Regions from separate parts of the Mus musculus genome. Here region 2 is reported to be linked to region 1. The links are microRNA targets in miRTarBase. Many come from high-throughput screens and were not tested one by one. Region 1 holds a microRNA gene; the other region holds the end of a gene's coding sequence.
What was found. The annotated mature microRNA mmu-miR-743b-3p reads GAAAGACAUCAUGCUGAAUAGA and lies in region 1 at 1,940-1,961, opposite strand. An mRNA with a match to its seed (bases 2 to 7 or 8) in the 3' UTR can be bound and repressed. Matches are read on the target gene's strand: a 7mer-m8 pairs with bases 2 to 8, a 7mer-A1 pairs with bases 2 to 7 and ends in A, and an 8mer does both.

Region 2: the mRNA of Slc5a3 is a reported target of mmu-miR-743b-3p. Seed matches in the 3' UTR shown: 7mer-m8 at 1,700-1,706.

Annotation. Positions count from the first base shown.
Region 1 is chrX:66,775,327-66,779,394 of GRCm38, forward strand. Mir743b (microRNA 743b) reads right to left here and starts at 2,006; the gene lies at 1,930-2,006. It overlaps Mir743 (microRNA 743), which reads right to left and starts at 1,492; the gene lies at 1,431-1,492. It also overlaps the pseudogene Gm14681.
Region 2 is chr16:92,078,573-92,082,629 of GRCm38, forward strand. Slc5a3 (solute carrier family 5 (inositol transporters), member 3) reads left to right here. Exons shown (of 2, transcript NM_017391.3): 2 at 1-4,057. The coding sequence ends at 641. The region is part of intron 1 of Mrps6 (mitochondrial ribosomal protein S6); the gene reads left to right. Among named protein-coding and RNA genes, the nearest start is that of Mrps6, 22 kb to the left of the region's middle.

The sequences.
Region 1 (4,068 bases):
CAGACTGTGACAGAATACACAGGACCTGAACAAGTTCAAACCAAACATGTTCCCATGAGTGAGCATGGAAAATGGATATGAATTCCCATCATTAACTAATAAATTATTTCCAATTGACAGCTACTTACAAAGAAAAATTGTTTTCTTCAATTTCATCTCACTGGGTATAGTAACCACATTTAATTGTAGGCTCTATGCCAAGAATTATACAGCCAACACAATATGAACTCAATTATATTTTGTAGGTATTCTCTGTCTCTCCTCTCTCTCTCTCTCTCTCTCTCTCTCTCTCTCTCTCTCTCTCTCTCTCTTTATGTGTATAATGTGTTTCTTGGGCATTTTAAATTATTCTTTATTCACTCATTTATCTTGCTGATTTTTCTAAAGGAAGATAAAGAAATCTGGTAGTGAAGGTGGGGAGGATCTCAGAGAAGATGGGGGATGTGAAATTGTGGTCAGGATATATCTTAAACATTTTCAGAAAAAAAGAAACAAAACAAATGTAGAAGTGCTGACTCTATCAACTCTATAACCTCTAATAATATTCATCACTTGTACAAGTTATGACATCAGGAAGGATGCCTGAACCCTGAACACACCTAGGGAATGCAAAACTCATTATACATCACCTTGCATATATAATTTGACATCTTCTTCCTGCATTCCAATAAGATGAATAACTCTGAGTACCAATAACTGATCATCACTCTCAGCTTAATACCCTTTCCTTCATTCTTGCCAGACCACGTGCCAAACTTAGGGCCTCAAGCATACAATCTAATTATTCTAAAGACTGTGCTTTAGGCTCTTAAAAGTATGTTTTTTAGCACATAAATAAATTGAATTTTCCTTCTGTATTTTATCGGACCTATGTGAATTTTTGAATAACAACAACAACAAAAAGCATGAAGGTGACAACAACACCATTAAAAACCCTGAAGGTGTCCTAGGGCCCAGAAAAGTCAAAGAACACCATAATCAGAAATGCTAGGATATTTGTACTTATACAAAAATCACTATGCTAAAAGTAATGAGACAGCTTGTTAGACTTATTCTACTCACACAGAAGAACTGGTTAACAGTTTAAGCAAATATGGCTCTGTATAGAATTTTAGCATGTAGGGCGGGCCTCAATCATGTCCTAATAGTATCCTATTTATCAATCTGCCTTAATGAGTATAAAACCTTAACATATATCATATTTATTCCTATCTTAGGGAATATTCCTTGTACATAACATACTATGTCCTACTATATGGTTGACTGCCAAACTTTGTGTTAATTCTCCAATCTATATGCGGCTATAAAGTTAACACTGGGAATCAAAATTGTACTTAGGTAACAGATTAGGACTGGTTACATTTTGTGTAACTACAGATAAAACACCCTGACCACATAATACCACCTGCAATGAAGAACACAATAAGCCCTACTCTACTCAGCTTGGTGTCTTTCATTCTTATAAACATGACAGGCACCAATCTGAATACAGCACTGCATACAAGAACTTTAATGAGAATGCTCTGCCCCAGATCCTTCATCTACATGTCACACAAATCATTCTGCCCCACTCAACATGAAAACTCACTTCTGTTTATATGTATATATTAGAAAACATTCCTACAGTAGGCTATGAGTTTCTAGTTCTTCACTGTATACTATGTCCTGGTCTCTATTTACAGTGTTGATTCTCAAATCTACATAGATAAAAGATGTATCATTTGTTGATTGTGGGTTTAGTTTCTTCTAAGTATTTTTTTCTTTAACCTACATGTTATAATTGTGTAAAAATTGAACATCTAAAATTATACTCTGGATAAATATGGATCCTGAGGGTTACATATGACTAATTACAATGAGGGATTCATGTCAAGTGTAACTGCACTGCACCACTCTGACCAATTAAGGCATAATAAATGAAGAATATCATGGGCCTTACTCTATTCAGCATGATGTCTTTCACAAATATTTCACATGATGGACACCAGTCTGAACACAGCACTGCACACAACATACTGCCCTCTCCCACTCCTATTTCAGTGTCCTGGACAAAAAGTTAAGTACTAGTTGCATGCTTTGCATCAGTATGACTGATGCTTCATCTTTTTTTCTCTACCATGTAGTAATAACCATCATATTTGAGGATCCTGTCTAAATTCACCTTGAGGATGTATGCTGTGAAGATAAATACAGTATATACTAGTTTTCATGAGCCTTCATCAATTCTTGTAGTCTAGTGTGATAGGTGAACACTAGATTTCTTTATTCACAGGTCCAGGAAATGACAAAATCCTTCACCTTTCATTTCTCCTTCTGAATGTTGTGATCCCAATTTTTTATCTCATTTTGCTGATATTAAATATCCATTAATAATAAACATATTACTTTTATAATTGCACTCTCTGACCATTTTGAGGCATGTGTACAACCTTAAGCACCTTTTAAGTCTAAAAAAGTGGGGCTTTAAATGAGAAATGATGAAAATGGTAGCAATCTCAAGGATGCCTTTGAAGACGAAGTATAAGGTCCAGGGTATACAAAGTAAGGAGCTTGTTGAACATTACTCACTCTGAGAGACCATGTGTACACGCACTTAAGTCTCACTGACATTAATGTGTATAGGGATTGACACTAAAAAGCTTTCAGGAGAAATAGTACTCAGCAGAGAAGAGCCCACCAACTGCTTTTCCATGGTCAGCACTGAAATAACATACATAAAACTTTCAAAATATGGACTAAGCAGGGCATGAATGAGAGAGAGAACAAAGGGGTTAGTTGATTAGAGTGGCTGAAGGGAAGAAACGAAAGGGGAGAATTATAAAATATTTTAATTTAAAAAGCACTTAAAAATTAAAATGAAACTAAACTTATTTTCCATAGTGCTATGTCCCTAATTTTAAATATTTTCACCTATGAGAAATAGGAATTAGATGAAAGGTTCCCCCTATATCTTCACCTAAACAATGTCCTGTGAAGGTAGCTACAATCGATCTTAGAATCAGAAAATACTCTTGCATGTGCATCTATGTTCTTACATTTACAATGACAGTACTTTATGAGTATCCTTATATTGAGAGAGATACCCCAAACTGTTTAAACTGTTTAAACCCTTTTCTTAAAGAGACTTCCTCCACTGCCAGAGATCTTGAATAGCCTCCTGGTCAGTCATCCGGAAACAATTCTTCACATAATTAATGAACTTGGCTTCCACTTTGGGAAGAGAACCGCCTTTTTCTATACTTGCTTGCATTTTTGCCTTAATGTCTTCTACAGAACTAGGTCCTTTTGGTGTTTTAGGAGTCTTTTCCTGTTTTTTGAAGGACTCTTGACCCTTTGATCTCGGTGTTGACGGTTTTAAGTCTTTTCCATTTTGGTTTGATTTTTGTGCATTTTTGGCTGGGGTATCTCGTACAGATTTCTTCACTGGGACCTTTTCTTCAGTTTCCTCTTCATCAAAATCATCATCATCATCATCCTCATCATCCTCATCATCGTCCTCATCATCTTCATCAAGTTTTACTTTTTTCTGTATCCTTATATTGAGAGAGGTTAGTAGAAAGTGACTGGTATCTGTCCTATATCACAATGCACACACCAAAATGAATGGAGACATATCATCTCATCTGACTCTTGCATTACCAAGAAGTTTCAGGAGTCCTTAACTCAAGTTCTTAGGGAATATATATACTCTCCTTCACTTTCTATCTCTACCACTTCTGGATCAGAGAGATAAAAGTCCTTTAACTTTATTTAATTACTGGGAAGGAAATTATTTTTTTTTTCTTTAGATTATCTTCTTTCTTTACATTCTCTATTTTGAAAGTACCCATGAGGTGAAACATGGATAGTCTACACTATGTTGAAAAAGTAAGGATATGGGGCAACAAAGACTCAAACCGTTTCTGTGTTTAGTCTTTCATTAACACAGTGTACCTCATTTTCTTTTTATGAAAGCATAATTCTTAATTTTAGCACCTTGTTCTCCTTTTCCTTACCTAACATAGATGCTTGAATGCTGTCCCATGAAAGTGATTAAAAAGATACACACAATTGTATAGTAAGGCTTTG
Region 2 (4,057 bases), not on the chromosome of region 1:
TCAAAGACATCCATTATATGTACGTGGCTACGGCATTATTTTGGATCACAGGACTCATTACTGTGATTGTTAGTCTTCTCACACCACCTCCCACAAAGGATCAGATTCGTACCACTACCTTTTGGTCAAAGAAGACCCTGGTGACAAAGGAGAGCTGTTCTCAGAAAGACGAACCATACAAAATGCAAGAGAAGAGCATCCTGCAGTGCAGCGAGAATAGCGAAGTCATCAGCCATACTATTCCCAACGGGAAGTCTGAAGACAGCATTAAGGGACTGCAACCTGAAGACGTTAATCTGCTGGTGACATGCCGAGAAGAGGGCAACCCAGTGGCTTCCATGGGTCATTCAGAGGCAGAAACACCAGTAGATGCTTATTCCAATGGGCAAGCAGCTCTCATGGGTGAGAGAGAAAGAGAGAAGGAAACGGAAAATAGAAGCCGGTATTGGAAGTTCATAGACTGGTTTTGTGGCTTTAAGAGTAAAAGCCTTAGCAAGAGGAGCCTCAGAGACTTGATGGATGAGGAGGCTGTGTGTTTACAAATGTTAGAAGAGACTCCACAAGTTAAAGTGATCCTAAACATTGGACTTTTTGCTGTGTGTTCACTTGGAATTTTCATGTTTGTTTATTTCTCCTTATGAACTTAAGGATACGGTGAGACACTTAAGAGAAAATACTGGTCTTTGAAAACAAAAATGTAACTGTCGCACCTCCCAGGCATTGTTTACGCTGAAGGTTTTAGCCAAATTCTCCTTAGCAGAAAAATCATCTATTTGTAAGACTGTTTTCCCAGAGATGGGGAAAACGTAAATCTTCAACTTACATGAAACAGAGCAGAGTGAATTGTGCAAAAAATGTGGTTTGAGAGTTTTCTGTACCAAAGTAAGGAGAGACCAATTATTCTCATGTATCACTTAGGACAGAACATGTGCTAAGGTATCGTGAGTAAAGTGTCTTGTCTACATTGCCAAGGCTTGGTAGACCCTCTGCTGAAGGAAATTTGCTCATTTATAAAGGCTTTTGTCTCTAATCCCTGCTACAGTTAAAAAATGAATTTGTAGAGACTGTATGATTAGTTAGGTCCTGAAAGTCTAATGTGTTGTGTACTAATGACTTGAGGACAACTTTGTGTGTGTGGCTGGTCATTAGCACGAGTCTACGGATTCTGCTTGCCAAGAGAAAGGAAGAGCGTTTTCCTGCAGGTCCTTTTGTACTACAGCTTGTATGGAAATGTCAGCAGCCGTGGGGAGCAGACTTGGTTTCCATCTCTTCCCTCTCTTTTTTCCTACTTAAACTGAATCATACTCCACGGACTACCAAGTCTGTCTATAATTTTGCTTTTAATTAGGGGGGAAGTAAATACTGCTGATGATCCCCACATTTATTGATCAGATAAGAATATTTTAAAATATAGTTTGAGAATTATCAGCTACCAGGCAATGACTGATATTTAATGCTAAGTAGATGATGAATCATTTTTTTTTTTACCTGCTTTCTAGCTGCTTCTTTGTCATTTTACTAACATTCCTTATTTGCCAAATGCCTTCCCAAATGGGTCCTATTGTAAGATGTTCAGTATCGTGGAGGAGCGTCAACACTACTTGTGTGCCGGGGTTGGCACTTGCTTAGTTTGTGAAACGTTGTTAAGTTTTAGAGGAACAGTCTAATTCCATTCCTTATAAGTTCTCTTCCTTATTTCTGTCTTTTTTGAAGGCTTGCTGTGTATATACATCTATGCTGTTATAGTCAGTTAGCACATGAGTATGTTTCATTACGAAGTGGCTGTCAGTCATAGAACACTCGGCAGTCTTACTGTTGATGAGAGTAGATTTTCTGTAGGATGGCCAGCATGTTCCTCGGTTGCCACGAACAGGGACTTTAGGGTTTAGCAGTGTGCTTGTGGGGGATATCACACTTGTGGAGGACTCTTGATATTGACCTTAGCTTAGCTTGGTATCCAACTGCCACATTCATGGGCAGCAGATCTTTTTTTGTAGGCTGTTTCTCCTTATTGAAGATAGTGCAGGAGGAATTCGAGAAAAATCCTAGGGATGGTGTGTGTAGTCCTATGTCTTCATCACTGCCTCTTCTCCATTAGAGATGAAGAAAGCGAATTCTGTATCTACTTTCTTTAGGCCGATAACTTTTTAAATTGCATGACTTTTATTAAGCCTTGTACTTAAGGAGAATTACTACTTTTATAGATCATTTTATAGCTTTTCAATCAAACTCAGTCCTGATAACCAAAACAAAACAATACCTTTCCTTAGTTTTTTTTTTTTTTTTTTTTTTTTTTTTGTAATGCATCGACTTGTTTGCAGGCGATGGACGTCATGAGTCCAGTGCTGTTAGGGATCACAGATTGTCACACACAGTCTTCCTATCTTCTGGAGGGTTTCTGAGGGACTGAGTCTGGAAATTGAAAAAGTCATCTCTGTATGAATAGCATGCATTTCTGAAGAACTTAGAGTGCCTTGTACAATTTTTCTCTTAGTTTCTATTTTGAGATTTATAACCTGGAGCCAAGTAGATAGGGGCCATCCTTTTCTTGAGTGGAAAGTTGAGTTAGTTCTCCAAATGTGGACTCAGAGTTTGCCCATGTGTTTGGATGGATAGCTGTGCTTTGTGGCTGTCTTCTCTTAAACAATTCTTTTTGAGATAATCTTTCAGTCTTTGAGAAAGTTACAGAATATTGGGTTGTCCAAATTTGGATTAAGTTGTAGGAATTAACATTTCCTTTGAACACATTCCTATGCAAGTTAGCAGACATTGACACATTGGCCAAGTGGGCTTCCTCATCCTTGTATGTATAGCATAGTGAATAGGAGGTATTATGTGAATTTCTCCCTTTTATTTAGTGCTGAGTCCTAATAATTTGGAATGCTAGAGTCCTCTTACCCCCTTTTTGTTGACTTATAGTAAGATACATAATGTATACCGTAATGTGTCTATCTGTGTGTAAATAGCTGTAGGTCAAGTGTAGAGAGCTAATAAATAAGGAATAGCTTAGCATATGCATTAGATGTGTATTCTTACCACTGCGAACATCACTTTATTTAGTCTGAAGTTTCTAAAGCTTGTCTTCCTTACTGCTTTCCAGTAATAGATACTGTGCTTGAATACGTGTGTGATGGCAGCCTCATTTCAAGGACCAGCCTTTATAGGTCATTACAGTGGTTGTTCTTGGAATGATACCTGATTTTAGACTAGCAAAATGTTCATCCTTCACATGCATATGAGTCCTAAAAGATGGCATGGATCTGTAGACATTTACACATGTGTTTTTGTGTTTGTCCAAGCTAAGCTTTGGAATTGACCAAGATTACATTGACTAAAATAGTGATTAAAAGTAAACGTGAGGTAGGTGAGGCTGTTGGTCTACAGAGGTAGGTGAGAAGTAGTTATCCTCTGAGTGATAGCCAAGCTTCTAGATGATTGTCTTCCCAGGCAGTTCTTGCTTGGATCCAGAAAGGGCTTTTTAATTTAATTTAATTTTATTTTATTTTTAATTTTGCTTTGCGCCAGTGGCTGGGACAATGATTGATGGCTCTTCTGTGGGGTTTCTCTTTCTCTCAGAAGATTGTGTCCTGCCATCCTAAGAGTAAACAACTGGGCTGCTGTTGTTCTAGGAAGTGATTGCTTTTGTTTATAGAGAAGCATCAGGCAGTAGCAGCTGCCTTTGACTCAGATTGAGCGATCTCATCCCCAGGGCTTCCTTTCACCAGCTCGAAGGATCCACTCTTGCACAGAGAGGCTGACCTGGGTAGTCTATCCGTGACTCTTACGGGTGTCACCATAAGTGGTCAGAGATGCTTTGTGAAACTTCCCATTTAAGAACAGGTCAGTGGAGTTATGAGTTCTCTGAGTGAGGTTAAAAGCCTTCTTCAGGGTCGCTATGAATCCTTCAATTCCTACATCAGGAGTCTTTTTTATTCCGGGTGCATGGTCTTCTCATCTCCAAATACCATTTAGTGTAATCTACAGATGAGCCTTATTTTCCACCACATAAGTATGCTTTGTCATTACTCAGTAAAGAATTAGGTCTAATTTGGCTGAT